Ovis aries: one gene and its partners. The protein of the gene in region 3 interacts with the protein of the main gene of each other region in a pairwise test. Links are inferred from orthologs where the notes say so. Each region holds a gene or a part of one and is shown on either strand. Other genes may lie near its edges.

The links.
Region 1: the proteins of NPAS2 (region 3) and BMAL1 interact in binary tests that used the Homo sapiens proteins (3 or more experiments, as listed by UniProt). The link is inferred for Ovis aries from reciprocal best matches to the Homo sapiens genes NPAS2 and BMAL1.
Region 2: the proteins of NPAS2 (region 3) and BMAL2 interact in binary tests that used the Homo sapiens proteins (3 or more experiments, as listed by UniProt). The link is inferred for Ovis aries from reciprocal best matches to the Homo sapiens genes NPAS2 and BMAL2.

Annotation. Positions count from the first base shown.
Region 1 is NC_056068.1:39,061,286-39,066,975, forward strand, and holds part of BMAL1 (basic helix-loop-helix ARNT-like protein 1), read right to left. Parts: intron 4,749-5,690; coding exon 4,642-4,748; intron 3,307-4,641; coding exon 3,156-3,306; intron 2,377-3,155; coding exon 2,288-2,376; intron 794-2,287; coding exon 685-793; intron 1-684. UniProt on the Homo sapiens protein: Transcriptional activator which forms a core component of the circadian clock.
Region 2 is NC_056056.1:188,082,015-188,087,704, reverse strand, and holds part of BMAL2 (basic helix-loop-helix ARNT-like protein 2), read left to right. Parts: intron 1-1,628; coding exon 1,629-1,746; intron 1,747-2,496; coding exon 2,497-2,640; intron 2,641-5,690. UniProt on the Homo sapiens protein: Transcriptional activator which forms a core component of the circadian clock.
Region 3 is NC_056056.1:100,483,650-100,488,966, reverse strand, and holds the end of NPAS2 (neuronal PAS domain-containing protein 2), read left to right. Parts: intron 1-1,867; coding exon 1,868-2,035; 3' UTR 2,036-3,290; downstream 3,291-5,317. UniProt on the Homo sapiens protein: Transcriptional activator which forms a core component of the circadian clock.

The DNA of each region.
Region 1 (5,690 bases), on a different chromosome or scaffold from region 3:
ACTTTCCTGAGTTCTCTCACAGTCCTAGAGCAATCTGGGGGAGACAGATAATTGCCTTCCTTTTATGGTTTAAATCAAGAGTCCAAGAAGTTGAGTGACTCTTCTAAACAGAGGCCCAGGACTCAAACTCAGGTAAACTACTTTCTCTTTCATATGGAAAAGAAGGCCCACCCACACAAGTTTCTATTACGAGCTGATTAGCTTGGCCTCTATTACTAATCCTAGGCAGCTTTTTGACCGGAAGTGTCAGGCCCAGATCATGGCAGTTCAGGGCTCTGTTTCTGCAGCTCTGTGATGTTAGTGCTCATCTATCTGCTGGAAAGCTCCTTGGGTGGTACACAAAGTAATAAAGTTGAGCCTCCTAGAGTTCCCTTTAGCTCTGACCTGTTCAGGTTTAGCCTTTTTAAAGGCACTACTTCTTAATCCCGACACTACTGACATTTTGGACTGAAAAATTCTCTCTCAGAGGTCAGGGGTTGGGAGGGCTGTCCTGCGTCCTGTAGAATGTTTAGCAAGCACCATCCCTGTCCTCTCTCCCCTGGATGTTTAGCAGTAATCTCCCACTCAGCTGTGACAACCAAAAACCGTCTCCAGACATCAACAGATCATCTCCGGCGGGGAGGGGGGGCAAAATACCGAAGCATGGAAAACACTGGTTTAAGGGAACAGTTAGGTGTTACTTGCCTGTGGATTTCCATGATTTCCTCAGCAATCATTCGACCTATTTTTCCTGCCCCAGCCCTGGTTCCCCCTGGAATCCCTGGAACAGTGGGGTGGATCCTCTTCGGGCCACCTACAACAGAGGAATCTGAGAGTCGGAAAGGGGAAAACTGAGGGAGAAGACCCTATTTCGTGTTGAATTAAAACAAGTTCTTCCCATGATCCATTGACGTTCAACCTTAGGGTTGTGCCTGAAGGACACTAGAGCCATGGCTTTTCAGGAAAGGGCATTCCAGCAGGAAAAAGCTCACGTTTCCTTCCAGGATCAGACATGTTGATATATAGCCTCTACTTACTCATGCACGCCACATACATTTACTGAACACCACTGTGCTGCAGGCCAGGGGCACAGAGATTAAGTCGGCATCCCTGCCCTCAAGGAGCTCACAGTCTAAGAGGGAGACACGTAAGACAGACAAGGGCTGGAGCACACTGTGATAACTTTGACAGGGCGGCACCAGGCATTCAGGGGGGCCAGGTGCAATTTCCTGGAAGAGATTAACTGAGCTGAGTCTTGTGAGAGGAGCACAAATCAGGGTGGCAGAGAGGAAAGGAAGGGAAAGCATTCCAGGCACAGCCACCAGTGCACACAAGAGCACTGAAGAGGGCACAGCTTGGGAGATGACACCAAGAAACTCAGTGCGATGACGACGGAGTGAGCGAGCGATGAAATGGAGAAGCAGATACCGGTCAGACCAGGAAGGGCCCTGGATGCCACCCTAACAGATCTGAGCCGTACCCACGGGGGATAACCAAAGGACTGCCTCAGATGGGGGTTACTGAGAGGTTCAGAGGAGCTGCACAGGAGCGAGCTGTAGTGGAGGACAGGGGCGCAGAGTGGGGAGCGTGCGACTAGGGCTGGGAAATTACCTGCAATAATCCAGGCAACAGATGGGGAAGGTGGTGATGGGGAGGTTTAAAGATAGAAGGGGCAGGATTTCGTGTTTCCATATAATGGGAGAGCGGTAGGAGTCATGGCTTCTGGCTTAACCAACCAGGTTGGGGGTTGGGGGCTGCTCTTGTACCGAAAACCGACGTGGACATGCTGAGTTATAGGTGCCTCCTTTGGGACTCCAGGAGGCAGCTGGAGGAACAGACCTGGAGGGACCGGATGTAGGATTCATCGATGAAGAGATGGGGACTGAAGCCATGCAAGCAGAGGCAGGCCCAGGAAGGAGTCAGGTGCCCAGGCGACGGCCCGGCACGGCTCACCCCGCGGTGCTGGCAACACCCCCCTCCCACCTCAGGAGCCAGTGGCCGTGACGGAAGAGCCCTTCACATCACAGCTGCTGGGCAACACAGTGGGAGGAAGGCACACACAGCCAGGAGCCGGCCATTTCATGGGCTTCCAGGGTCCAGGCAGCCTCAGGAAAGGCAAAACCAAGTTTCCAGCATTTCAAGCTCAACAGAGAAAGTGAGATGACAGCGTCCTTAGTGATCACTCCCGCGAGGGCCCCGCCTTGTTCCGCAGAATATGGTGGCTGGGGACCCCAAGCACTGGGGCAGGGGGTGGTGGCCACAAGCAGCTCCTCACAGGCAAGCCCCAGCCCCGGTGGCACATAGTTACCTTCTCCAGAGGGCAGCATGCTGTCCATGCTGTGGGGGGACGCTGTGAGCTGCGGGAAGCTGGGGTCCCCGCCTTCCAGGACGTTGGCTCTGTGAACATCCCAGCAACAAGGAAACGTGAGTCAGGCCCGCCCAGAACTGCGCACCTTTCACCTTGGCCAAGGTGTCCGGTGTCCACTCTGGACCTGGACAGGCCAGAAAACGAAGTGTCTGAGCGACTCAGTGCATCTCCTCGCTGTCAGAGGACACGGCAGACAGTGTCCGGGGCTCTGGCCTTCCTAGCGCACGCGGGGTGCGGTCCCGCGGGGGTGGTGATGCAGCGGCCACCGCCGCTGCCACGAGGCTCCTCTCCAGGCGGCCAGCAGGGCACCGACCGCAGCCCCTCAGTCAGCTCTACCTACGGGTGGGGGGTTGCACATCACCAGGAAGGAGATGCGGGGAGCAGCCGGCAGAGAGGGGCCTTCCCTTCCCTGCTCGCCCAGCAGCTGGCAGCCTTAGAGGCGGCATTCCGCAGCGGTGAGTGCTCAGGCCACCAGCCTGGGGAGCACAGATCCCCATCCCTCCTCCGCCAAGGACCGTATGGGCTGGTGAGCCTTTGAACTCAAAGGCTGGCTGCTTTGTCAGGAAGGAAAGGCTGCTGTCTCCGAGAGCCTTTCCAGCAGCTGGGGGCCTGAGAGTTCTGAGTACTGAAGCGTGTCCTTTGTTAGCCACCTTCTGGCTTCTGCCAGTCCTGAGGCTTCACAGGATATTAGCAAGATGACAGTAAAGGATGGGATACTGGCTGTTGCCTGTACCGCCTTTCCCAGGTAAGGGGCCCAAGGCATTCCTCCTTGAAGCAAGGGAGCTTCTGAAATAGGAGAGACACTTACAAAACAACGGTGTTCGTGGAGACAATGTATTCTACTTCCTTGGTCCAAGGGTTCATGAAACTGAACCACCGACTCCGCAGTGTGATGAAAGAACCATCTTTGATTTTAAACTTGTAGCAATTAGTGGTAATCTTTTCTCTTGTCTGTAAAACTGAAAATATAAAGAAACCAGGAACATTGCTGTTTCCTCAGAACAATGCATTAAAATAACCAAATCCTAAATGCGCTCAGGCTTCAAGGCCATCCCCTCTTTAATAAGCCATGGGAGGTGGCACTTCAGAGAAGAGGGTGTTTCTGAGGGCCTGATTTCTGAGCCTTCCAGTTGGGTTGTGAACCTGTCACTATTCAGAGTGTATGAAATAAAGGAAATAACAGTGCATTCTAGACATCTAGCTGGATTCATCTATGAAGTGAATGCCACACAAGGCGGCTCAGTCCACAGGGACCATGTAATCTCCCCATCATAAAGCCTGAGGACATCCGGATTCAGATGGCATCTCACCCATGGAAACCTCATTCTTTCATGTAACAAACATGTAGCAAGTATGCTTCATGTGCCAAGTACTGGAGATAAAAGAGGAGACAGGATATGACTTGCACCCTCAGGAGAGGAATGAGGGACAGCTACGCAGAGGAGATCAGAGCCTTCAGGGGTGAATACAAGTTTGCCAAAAGGAAGGAGGGAAGAACCCAGTGCTACCCGAGGAGTGGCAGGGCCTGGGGTGGGAGTGGGAACAGTGAGATGTCAGTGCGTCTGGAGGACAAGGCCTCTGCAGACAGGGACTGGGTCGGGAGGTGAAGCTGGGGAGGTGGCTCAGGGCCAGGACGTGGAGGGTCTTGAGCATCTGTCAAAGGTGACTGCGCAGGGGGTTTTGAGCACAGATGTGACTGTCAGGCTCAGTCTGTCAGAGCATAAGCGGGACAGCAATAGAAGATGGACTGGCGGGGCAGAGGCAAGTCCATCACAATTATCAGGTGGGTACCAGGGCTGCATCAGGGGCTTGGCAGAAAGGGGCCTCCTTGGAGATGCATGGCTGAGATGAATGAACAGTTCCGACGGAGGAAAGAGTAAAGAAGGGAGTCAATGTTGGCTGCTGTCTCAGGAGGCTATGTACGTGGCCACGTCATTAACCAAGAGGAAAATGCAGGAGGCGGTGCAGGGATTTGTAGGAAATTAGATCCGCTTGGGCCACACTAAATCTTTACATAGTCCAGGGAAACCCTCTGAACCAGAGGTGCCTTCCAGAAATTGCTCCAGCCCATGTAGAGATCTACTAGGCAGTCGGGGTGGGCGGTTATCTGGAAGGGGGTAGATGAGGCCTGGGGGAAGGAGCAGCACCCTCTCCTCCCAGACATTCTGGCCTGCAGGTCCCTGGGCTGGCTGACTCCCACCTCACAGGGGCAGATTTCTCTGCAAGGGTCCATGGACATGTCTAGAAGGAGGACACTTGAAACTTCAGAACTGGTGTACAGCCCAGCAGCTAACCTTGCCTATGACATTCTGCGAGATGTCCTATGTCATCTTGGTGGAAATACTCATAACACGACGTGCCTAGAAGTTCTTGTGGTAGATATGCCAAAATAGCTGTTGCCCTAAAAGGGAGAAAAAAAATTTTTTTTTAAATAAAATAACATTCAGACAATTAACAGATCTCTGCAGTGGATGACTCCTGCTACAGCCAATGAAAACAAGGTCAAAGCTGGGGGGGTTCAGAGGGCTTATTACATGGGTTTTGTTCTTTCTCATGAAGCTGACTTTAATCGGGGTTATAAAAACAGAGAGAGAAAGCAAAGACTTTCAAAGGGGCTGTTAGCACAAGACATCAAATTTTAGGTTTAAAAGTAGTAACTTTTAGATTAAAAAAAAGTGATAGGACTCTAAACTCCAGGTCAAAACTTCTCCAATTTACTGCCTGCTTTTTATCAGAGTGACCAGAAGCCCCAGTCGTGGGGCCCACAGGGACCTTGAGAAGCGGCTGCCTCCTTTTCTAGTATTTAGTGACTGGCTATTTCCAGTGGCCAGAAAAATTGCTAGCCTGTGGATACTTGTAAGGAAGCAGCAGAGAGCAGTGGAAATTTGGGTTCTTAGCCCAGGTCTACGGCCAATGAGTTACGAATCTCGGAGGGGGCTGGTCTTCAGGCTGAGCCTCTGTTCATCAGCCATAAAGAATGAGACCAGACTAGATCAGTGTTGTCCAGCAGAACTTTTTGTGAAGACAGAAATGTTCTGTTCAGGTACCATTAGCCACTGTTGCTGCTGTTTAGTCGCTAAGTTGTATCCAATCCTTTGTGATCCCATGGACTGCAGCCTACCAGGCTCCTCCGTCTATGGGATTTCTCAGGCAAGAATACTGGAGTGGGGTGCCATTCCCCTCTCCAGGGGATCCTCCTGACCCATGGATTGAACCTGCATCTCCTGCCCTGGCAGGCAGATTCTTTATAGCTGAGCCACCAGGGAAGCCACATGTGACTACTGATACTTGAAATGTGGTTAGTGAGCTGGGGGAATTTAAATTCACATTTTAACTTTAATTG
Region 2 (5,690 bases), about 88 Mb from region 3:
ACAATAGACTGAAGTATAAATCAGATTGCTAGCTTTTTTTTTTTTTAAGTAGAGCTATCTAACTGCCTTAAAAAAAAGAAAAAAAACTAGCAATCTGATTTATACATCAGACTGTTGTTTTTCCAGTAGTCATGTGTGGGTGTAAGAGTTGGACTATAAAGAAAGCTGAGCACTGAATAATTGATGTTTTTGAGCTGTGATGTTGGAGAAGACTCTTGATTACAAGGAGATCCAACCAGTCCATCCTAAAGGAAATCAGTCCTGAATATTCACTGGAAGGACTGATGCGGAAGCTGAAACTCCAATACTTTGGCCACCTGATGCGAAGAACTGACTCATTGGAAAAGACCTGATGCTGGGAAAGAGTGAAGGCAGGAGGAGAAGGGGACAACAGAGGATGAGGTGGTTGGATGGCATCACCACTCAATGCACATGAGTTTGAGCAAGCTCCAGGAGTTGGTGATGGACAGGGAGGCCTGGTGTACTGCAGTCTCTGGAGTCGCAAAGAGTGGGACATGACTGAGTGACTGAACTATATGATCTAACTGCCAAGCACTCCAGGCCACTTGGACCAGCTGGTCCAATTGTTCTACCTTCCGTAGGAATGTCTACTTGGGTAATAAATTCAGAAGCGAGTGATCACTGTGGGCTTCACATGTGAAGTAGAGTGTCTGCCAGTTTAGAGCAGAGATGAGGAGGAAGGCATTTCAGGTTTGGAGAGGGAATCTTGGAAGTTAGGGAGTAAAAGGCAATTAGCTAGCTTGGCCAGGGAACTGAATTTATAGAGAAGAGGTAGTGATTTCCAGGTGATGAGACCATGCAAACAAAGTCATGGGCCAAGGAATGCTCTGCATGTGGGGAGAAGTGAAATGCCAAGCAGGAGGTGTACCAAGTCGGGTTTGGTTTACCAATAGTATGGTAATTTTTTTAAGACAGTATGGTAAATTTCTGAGTCACATCATGAGATCATAGGTATTCTGTGTCTTTTATATTATTCTGTAATATAATATTTTTACTTTTACCAATGAAAGTGAAAGTGAAAAGTGTCTAACTCATTGCGACCCCATGGCCTATACAGTCCATGGAATTCTCCAGGCCAGAATACTGGAGTGGGTAGCCTTTCCCTTTTCCAGGGAATCTTCCCAACCCAGGGATCAAATCCAGGTCTCCCTCATTGCAGGTGGATTCTTTACCAGCTGAGCTACAAGGAGCTACAAGAATACTGGAGTGGGTAGCCTATCCCTTCTCCAGCAGATCTTCCTGACCCAGAAATCAAACTGGGGTCTCCTGCATTGCAGGTGGATTCTTTACCAACTGAGTTACCCAGGAAGCCCACTCTTTTTTTCTTTACCACTTTTACCAATGATTAAGTTTAAATAAAATGTTAGTTATTAGGTGTGTGTATGTGATTTATGTGTATCCGATTTTGGGTCTGTGTGTATGTACCTTTTTTTTGTCTACAAGTTTTACTCTGCTTTTAACACTAAGGTAACTTCACCCAGTGTAGTTGATATATCCAAGCTTAAGAAAAAGCCACTTTAACCAAAGAAACAGTATCATTTGTTTGTTTGAGGAAACATAGCAATAACATGACACTGATTTTAAATGAACTTCTGCCTTATAAATAGGCTAGTTTGATTGGACAAAGCTTATTTGACTTCTTACATCCAAAAGATGTTTCCAAAGTAAAGGAACAACTTTCTTCCTCTGATATTTCACCCAGAGAGAAGCTAAGAGATGCCAAAGGTAAGTACTCATTTCAGCCTTCTTATCATTTTATGGAAATATAATTTTTACTTAAAAGTATAGCAATAGAGTTTTTTGAAAAGCTAGCTAATTATAGTTTTATCAAGGGGAGAATTATTTAATAACTTTGTAATCATCAACCTCAGTTTTTAAAATATCACTGTGTAGAGAATGCATGTATCAAAGTAAATATATGAAGATGTTTTTGGGAAAATGTGATTACTTCATATTCTCTAGCTTTCATATGCTAACAAAATCTTTATTGGAAAGTGCCATTTGGGATAAAAAAAGTTGCCGGAGTTTTTTTATTATTTAGTTCTTTGCGAAGGGATAACTATTCTCTTTCTCAAATGTGTTAGGTCTTCTCAATGTGAAACACCTTGTATAATTGTTCTTGGGAAGTATACATATTCTGTGTCTTTTCCAGAAATACTTCTTTTCTCTGAAACTGCTTATTGCGTAATAATTGTTTATTATATAAAATAATGATGTTTTATGCCACTGATACTATTTTAGTTAAGTTTTTTCATGTAATTTTTATTTCATTGAAGTTATCTTTACTATCTGCCCCCCTGGGAAAAAATATAAAGATAAATTGCAAATGATTATATTTCTTGGTGTGTTTCACTTTGGGGTTTACTGTACAATGATGTCAATAACCATAGATGACCAGAACACATGAGGAAATACATTTTGAAATTATTTGAAAACATTTTCTTCCTATTCTCTTGCCTCCTTGCACTATGAAAGCTGCTTTGCAAGTTCACAGTAATTTCCACACAAGTAAGAGTCATGTGTATTCTGGCTCAAGACGATCTTTTTTCTGTCGAATCAAGAGCTGCAAAATCTCTGTCAAAGAAGAGCACGAATACTTACCCAACTCAAAGAAGAAAGGTATCATCTTTTTTTTTTTTTTGAGAGATTACTCTAATTTTGTTGTTTATATAACTGCTTTAAAAATTTTTTTTCACATATTATAAAGTATTTTTTAAACTTTATTATTATTATTTATTTTACAATATTGTATTGGTTTTGCCATACATCAACATGAATCCAACATGGTGTACATGTGTTCCCAATTCTGAACCCATCACACACCTCCCTCCCCCCGCCATCCCTCTGGGTCATCCCAGCACACCAGCCCCAAGCATTCTGCATCCTGCATTGAACCTGGACTGGCGATTCATTTCTTATATGATATTATACATGTTTCAATGCCATCCTCCCAAATCATCCCACCCTCTCCCTCTCCCACAGAGTCCAAAAGACTGTTCTATACATCTGTGTCTCTTTTGCTGTCTCGCATACAGGGTTATCATTACCATCTTTCTAAATTCCATATATATGTGTTAGTATACCGTATTGGTGTTTTTCTTTCTGGCTTACTTCACTCTGTATAATCGGCTCCAGTTTCATCCACCTCATTAGAACTGATTCAAATGTATTCTTTTTAATGGCTGAGTAATACTCCATTGTGTATATGTACCACGGCTTTCTTATCCATTCGTCTGCTGATGGACATCTAGGTTGCTTCCACGTCCTGGCTATTATAAACAGTGCTGCGATGAACATTGGGGTACATGTGTCTCTTTCAATTCTGGTTTCTTCAGTGTGTATGCCCAGCAGTGGGATTGCTGGGTCATAAGGCAGTTCTATTTGCAATTTTTTAAGGAATCTCCACACTGTTCTCCATAGTGGCTCTACTAGTTTGCATTCCCACCAACAGTGTAAGAGAGTTCCCTTTTCTCCACACCCTCTCCAGCATTTATTGCTTGTAGACTTTTGGATAGCAACCATTCTGACTGGCATGAAATGGTACCTCATTGTGGTTTTGATTTGCATTTCTCTGATAATGAGTGATCTTGAGCATCTTTTCATGTGTTTGTTAGCTATCTGTATGTCTTCTTTGGAGAAATGTCTATTTAGTTCTTTGGCCCATTTTTTGATTGGGTCGTTTATTTTTCTGGAATTGAGCTGCAGGAGTTGCTTGTATATTTTTGAGATTAGTTGTTTGTCAGTTGCTTCATTTGCTGTTATTTTCTCCCATCCAAAGGCTGTCTTTTCACCCTGCTTATAGTTTCCTTTGTTGTGCAGAAGCTTTTAATTTTAATTAGGTCCCATTTGTTTATTTTTGCTTTTATTTCCAGTATTCTGGGAGGTAGGTCATAGAGGATCCTGCTGTGATTTATGTCGGAGAGTGAAATATCAAGTGATTTGATGCATGGATATAAAATTAATGTCCTAATATTTTCTATATTAAAAAATAAGTTGTATGGTCAAGGTAGGCTATGGTTTTTCCAGTATTCAGGTATGGATCTGAGTGTTGGACTTTAAAGAAAGCTGAGCACTGAAGAATTGATGCTTTTGAACTGTGGTGTTAGAGAAGACTCTTAAAAGTCCTTTGGACTGCAAAGAGATCCAATAAGTCCATCCTAAAGGAAATCAGTCCTGAATGTTCATTGGAAGGACTGATGTTGAAGCTGAAACTCCAATACTTTGGCCACGTGATGCAAAGAACTGACTCACTGGAAAAGACCCTGATGCTGGGAAAGATTGAAGGTGGGAGAAGGGGGCGATAGAGGATGAGATGGTTGGATGGCATCACTGACTCAATGGACATGAGTTTGGGTAAACTCCGGGAGTTCGTGATGGACAGGGAAGCCTGGCATGCTGCAGTCTATGGGGTTGCAAAGAGTCACACAACTGAGTGACTGAACTGAACTGTATGGTCAAGGCAAATACTGAGGTCAAAGGCATTCATTTATCCAATAATTATGGCTCTGGTGAATCAATTCCACGTTGAGTAGATCCAGTTGGAAATGAATCACCTAATCTACACAGCAATCCATATGAGAGAAAGCATGGCAGCCCATTCAGCCACCTCAACACAGCTGAAATCTCTGATGTTTGATGCAAGTCGTAACTTGAGTAGAGGCTAACACTGTCAAGATTTGTAAGTCTTTTAAGGATTGCCAAATTAGTTTATCTCTCCTTCTGGGAAAAGCAGATTCTCCACATGTACTTATTCAGTACTAATAAATATTTCAGTCATCTCTTTGTCATGGTGCATGGCTAGTGCCCAGTATAGCCATTTAACTTCTGTAAAACCGGATCTCACCCCCTGGCCAGCAGTTTACTCTTTGCTTCTAAACCTTGCAACTCCACAAGGTTGATTTTCAACCTGTCTCTTCTTTTTGAGAACCATTGCTTTAAACTCTAAGTATGAGATTCTCTGGGCTTCCCAGGTGGCTCAGCAGTAAAGAATTCGCCAGTAATGCAGGAGATGTGGTTTCAGTCTCTGGGTCAGGAAGATCCTCTGGAGTAGGAAATGGTAACCTACTCCTATCTTCTTGCCTGGAGAATCCCATGGGCAACAGAGCACGGTGGGCTACAGGCCATAGGGTAGCCAAGAGTCAGACATAACTGAAGCGACCTAGCACACATGCACACGTGGGCTGAATTGTGTCCCTGAAATTCATATGCTGAAGCCTGATGTGGTATTATTGAGGTAGGACCTTTGAGACATAATTAGATTTAGATGAAGTCTTGAGGGTGGGGCCCTCATGCTATATTTAGCACCCTTCTAAGAGGGGAACCCAGAAGATCTGTAGTCTGTGAGCATACAGTGAGATGATAGCTGTCTGCAAGCCAGAAGTCAACTATGCTGCCATCCTGATATCAGAACTCCAGGTTCCAGAACTGTGAGGAGTTAAATTTCTGTTAAGCCACTCAGCCTGTAGTGCTTATTATGGGGGGCCCAGCTGAGCAAGACAGCAAACAACTTGGATCATTTTCTCTATGGTAATTCTCCTAAGTATTTCTGAAAAGGCTCTGCAGTGGGAACCAAAGGAATCTGGGCTTTGCTGAAAATAAATGTATGTTTAGTAAATTGGCATATTACAGTTTATCTTGAAAAATGGAACTACAAGTCACAAATCGGTGGT
Region 3 (5,317 bases):
TTACTGCATTCTTTTTAATGGCTGAGGAATACTCCATTGTATGTCGGTAATCTTGTGGTCACTTCTTACTTTAAGCAAGTACCACATGCACTGGAAGGAAGGGGTGTGAGCCAGTGGCTGGGGGTTCAGAGAAGTGTCTGCTCAGGGTCTGGCCTTCCCTCCCACACATGCCCATGTGCCGCTTCCTGTCCAACGGGGCCTCCCCCACAGCCTCAAGCCCCTACCACAAGGCACAGTGTAGCTTTTGCTCCCCCACCCCCACCTGCCCCGCTTGGGCTTCCTCGAAGCCATAGGTGAATGTGCAGGGTGACCAAGACGCAGAGTCCTCCTCGAATTCTAGATTGTGATTGAATTTCAAGGCGGCTAAACCAGCTGTGGCGTAGTTTTCAGATCTCCCTGACACCACCTCTTGCTGCTGCTGCTAAGTCACTTCAGTCCTGTCCGACTCTATGCGACCCTATAGATGGCAGCTCACCAGGCTCCCCCATCCCTGGGATTCTCCAGGCAAGAACACTGGAGTGGGTTGCCATTTCCTTCTCCAATGCATGAAAGTGAAAAGTGAAAGTGAAGTAATTCAGTCGTGTCTGACTCTTAGTGACCCCATGGACTGCAGCCTAGCAGGCTCCTCCATCCATGGGATTTTCCAGGCAAGAGTACTGGCGTGGGGTGCCATTGCCTTCTCCAACACCACATCTTAGTGGGAGTTAACTCTGGACCTCAGCTTTGCTCCCTGGTCAGCTTGCAGGACCCTGGAGTGATCTGGGACGGGAACTGATGAGGGGAGAAGGCAGGGAGAAGTCAGGGGAAAAGCTAGAGGCTGCCCATCTATCTGTTCCTTCATTGGGAGCCACCAGCGTGCTTGCACGTGCCTGTTCCACCCAGATGCAGGGCTAAGGATGCAAGGAGCACTCAGGGACCCTGAGCGCAGGGGGACAGGCGACGTCACAGAGAGCTGCCAGGCCTGGGTCAGTGTCAATGGAGCACTGGGGCTGGGGAGCCAAGGTCAGAAAAGGACGAGGCGTGGGGACGGAAACACTCCAAGTGTGGATGGCTGAGTGTGAGGTGTGGGGGGACAACGTTTCAACAACAGAGGCAGCCTGAGCCGAGGTAGACGGGCAGATGTGCCTTGCACAGCTTTGGAAACAGAGTGGACCAGGTTCCTTGGAGGGGCGATTTCATGGCTGGGAATAGTGCGGGGTGAGACTGAAGGTTCCAGAGTTAATGTCTGACCAGTTGAAGTTGTTGCGTCGGTTGTTCAGTCGTGTCTGACTCTTTGAGGCTCTGTGGACTGTAGCCCCCACCCCAGGCTCCTCGGTCCATGGGATTCTCCAGGCTGCAAGGATACTGGACTGGGTTGCCATGCCCTTCTCCAGGGGATCTTCCCAACCCAGGGATTGAACCCAGGTCTCCTGCACTGCAGGTAGATTCTTGACCATTTGAGGCACCAGGAAAACCCAGTGAGTTTCTGAGCTTCAAATTAGGATGCTTCCTGGCAGATGGCAGTATTTGGAAGTGATTCTGGAAATTGGGACCACCAGTGAAGAGTATGTGGACTACAGGCCTGTTTGGATGCTGCGCGGGCAATGACGTACATGTGGTGTCAGGTTCCAGTATCCAATACCACACAGGCTAGCGGGGGCTCCTGTACATGTGCTCAAGAAACCATTTCCTGCAGCCTAGGCCCCCGGCCACCGGGCCAGGAGGAACCCCTAGTGCTGGCCGGAGAGCTGGGCTTCCTTTCCCCCAGGTCTTCAGGCAGGGGAGGAGGACCCTTCAGTCTGAGGAGGACTACATCACCGCCCCAGCCATTTAGGGAAGGAGTCCCTGAACCCCAGAACCTTCCTGGAGCTGGTTCCTTTCTTTCCAGGTGCAGGTGCCAACCTCTCTGCACAGTGAGCAGCAGGACTCCCTCCTTCTCTCCACCTACTCGCAACAGCCAGGGACCCTGGGCTACCCAACACCGGGGCCCGCGCGCCCAGCCCGAAGGGTCAGCAGCCTGTCTGAGTCCTCAGGCTTCCAGCAGCCGCCTCGGTAGTGGCTGGGCACCTTGGTTGGGTCACATCAGCTTTAACCAATGGACGGACGAGGGGGCAGGTGGCCAAGGAGTTGGGGAGAAGAGTTGAAAGGACACCCCAACTTCCGTGCACGCCGCATCCATTTCAGAGCTCCTGGGTGGTGACCATGTCCGAGGGCGGCGGCCAGCGTGGACATGAGTGAGCAGGGAAGCTGGCCCTGTTTCTCCTTTCCCTGTGCTTCACAGCCACAGTCTACAACCATACCCAGACAGACCGTCCGCGGTCCCCAGCGGAGCGCATCAGTGCATCACTCTGTTCAGCTTAGACACGGAGCGTCTCTGCTGGATCGCCCCTCCCCCCAGCGTGGACCAGTCTGCGCCACGTGCCCATGGGCTCATTGGCCTTCACTCTCCTGACCCTCTTTCCTCGGAGAAGCACCCGGTCAGCGATGTCTTGAAAGGAAAGAAGAGATGATTTTTTTTTCTCTCATTATTTTTAGATGATCGTTTCTGTCTTAATTTGCACAGCTGCACAAGGAGATAACTTAGGCACTTTCCTTTTTTTTTTAAATCAAGTCTCCTGACTTCACGCGGAGACCCCAGTAACAAAAACAGCCCACCAATCAGAAAGCAAAGCTGGGCATTATTAACCAGACTGCAGCCCCTCACCTCCCACCCTCCCGCCTAAACCCTAATGGAATGAGACTCTTCTCCCCACACCGTTCTGGTGATCAGCTTTTTTTTTTTTCTTATCCTGAATGTAACACTGGACTGTTTTCTGTTGACTTCCCGGTGATTGCGACTACAAACATGGACTCAAGGCAGAGTACAATTAATTCTGCAGGTGACGTTCTGGGATTTCGACAGGACTCGAGGACTGTGAAAGGGAAGGTTTTACAGGCCAGGCAGGACCCCAGGAAACCCCCCTCCCCCCATGCTGGCCCTCAGCGTGAGGGTGCCGCAGCTTTCTACACATCTTTCCTGACCAAGACCCAGGAGTGGATTTTCCTTTTCAAAAATGCACTTTGCTTTTTTTGTATGTTTTGTTGAGATGTTTCTAAAGAGAAGATTTTATGTAATTATAAGACGAAGTGTAGTGAATTGTACAGCCGTTGTAATAAGGAACTATTTCTATATAAAATAAAATTGTATGGATTCTGTGTAAATTATTTTGTATCTGAGACACCAGTTCCTTTCCCAAAATATAAAAGGATAAAAGTTTTCTTGTGTATTTCTGTGAGTGGACATTTTGTAATAAATTAACAAATTTGTATAATTTCCTTTTGAGGCAGTTTCTGTACCTTGTTCTTGATGCATTCATACCTCTCTTCGTCAGTAAACTTTTTTTTAATTTCAACACGTTTCTAAGGATAATCAAAAATGCAGAAAAGGTGGGAGCGAGCAACCAACAATCTGGGTAATGGCCTTAGGTTTTTTGAGCTCACATGCCTCTCAGCCTATTGGGATCCTGATCTTTATTTTAAAGACTGTGCCAGAAGAAATCAATGGTTCTTTTAGAAATGATAGCAAAACAAAATGACAAAACCAGAAAAAGTTCCTGGAAATATCTCTAACTTAAGAGACATGGGTAATCCATAGAGATGACCAAGCCATTATCCACAGAAGCAGGTATAGCCCATAAGTAAACTCACCTGGGCTAGGGTTGCATGGCCTCTTGCTTGCCAGCACTTACGCAGCAGTGATGCACCCAGGGTTTGTGTGTCTGTATGGGAGACCTGTGCACACGCCATGTGGATAGGGGAGATACAGCAGACGGCACCCCCTTTTCCATGAGGCTTCAGCACGCTGGCGTGAGGGTGCGCTGGCACACTGAGACTGAGAATCACTGAGATGGCAACACTCAGCAGAGCGCGGTCAGAGAGAACCAAGTTCCCCTGCTTGTTCCGTCACTGGGGCTCTGTGTTTCTACCTGCCTCCCTGTAAAAGAGAGAAAACCTCTCTCCATTCTCTGGCCAGGATCAGTTTTCAGCGGCCTAAGAGGCTGCCACGTAAATACATCAAAAGGAGTTTTAATTATTCACACACACAATTGTGATATGAATTACATGAAAAAAAGGTAAGTCTAAATATTTTGCATATCTTAGGATCATTTACTCTCAGGAATCCAAAATGGGCCCTTTTTAAAACAAAAATTCTGTGTGACACTAGATAACCTATTTTGTAATTTAACTGTTTGGTAAATTCAAAGGTTTCCAGATCTCATATTTCTGTAAAAGAATTTGAATTTTAATTGGCTGTCAGAATCTGCACTTCTAAATAGAACAAATTTTTAACGGAAACAGCATATTTGTTGTGCTAGGATTTTCCAGCTGGAAGCCATTAGAAGAGGGTGGACTATGTCATGCTGCTAAATTAATTTAGTATTGCTTAAACTTTACACATGTTCACAGTCTGGGTAAACTCAGAAAACTCTTATTGAGTACATTTCTTTAAACCCACATAACATCAGGGGAAGTTTAATCCTTAAACTTTTGATTCATTTAATTGTGCTGATTTAAAGACTGTTTTGCAAACTTGTCATGACTTTTCTATTTAGAAACTATAAAATCTTGGCTCATGAGAAGTGACTGAAATATGAACTCTGAAATATACCAAGCTTAAGAATATTTTAAACTAACTCCACTAAAATGTAGTATCTTGTCTCTAACAGCAACTAATGCCCATTAAATTAGGGTTTTGTTTGTTTGTTTATACCATTGTTTATACAATGGTATATCGCAATATGGTGAAATGGCCAACTGTGAGAAGTTGCTAGGCCATGATATGTTGGACTCTGGCTGAATTATCTGGTAAAATGTGGGTGTTCAGTAAAAAAATTGCCTGTTTCTCCCTTCACTTTATGTGAAGCCTAGAGGTTTTAAAGTCAGCCATTAGTAACCAAGACAAACAACAAATCTGAGTCTTCCAGAGTAATGGCATGTGTGGCTTTTTGGATACACACGTATGAACTTCATACAACGCCTATGTGCAATAGTACAAACAACAGCATACTTCTGTAAGCATGACATGGTTGACTGAATGGCTGAAACACACAGCCTTGTGGCATCTGTGAAGCACCTTTATTTTTCCAGGGGAAGAAAAATCATTAGAAAAAAAGGAAAACCTTCTCTAGGATTTTTGTCTATCCAGCCAATGTCTAGCTATGGGAGAAGCAGGGTAACCCATCAGCGCATTCAGTAAAATAATATGTGCCTTAAAATATATACTCCAACTTGGGTAACCACTTTATACGCACTTAAAAGGTCCTGAATTTAATGTAGTTTAATCCTTTAAAATCATCTG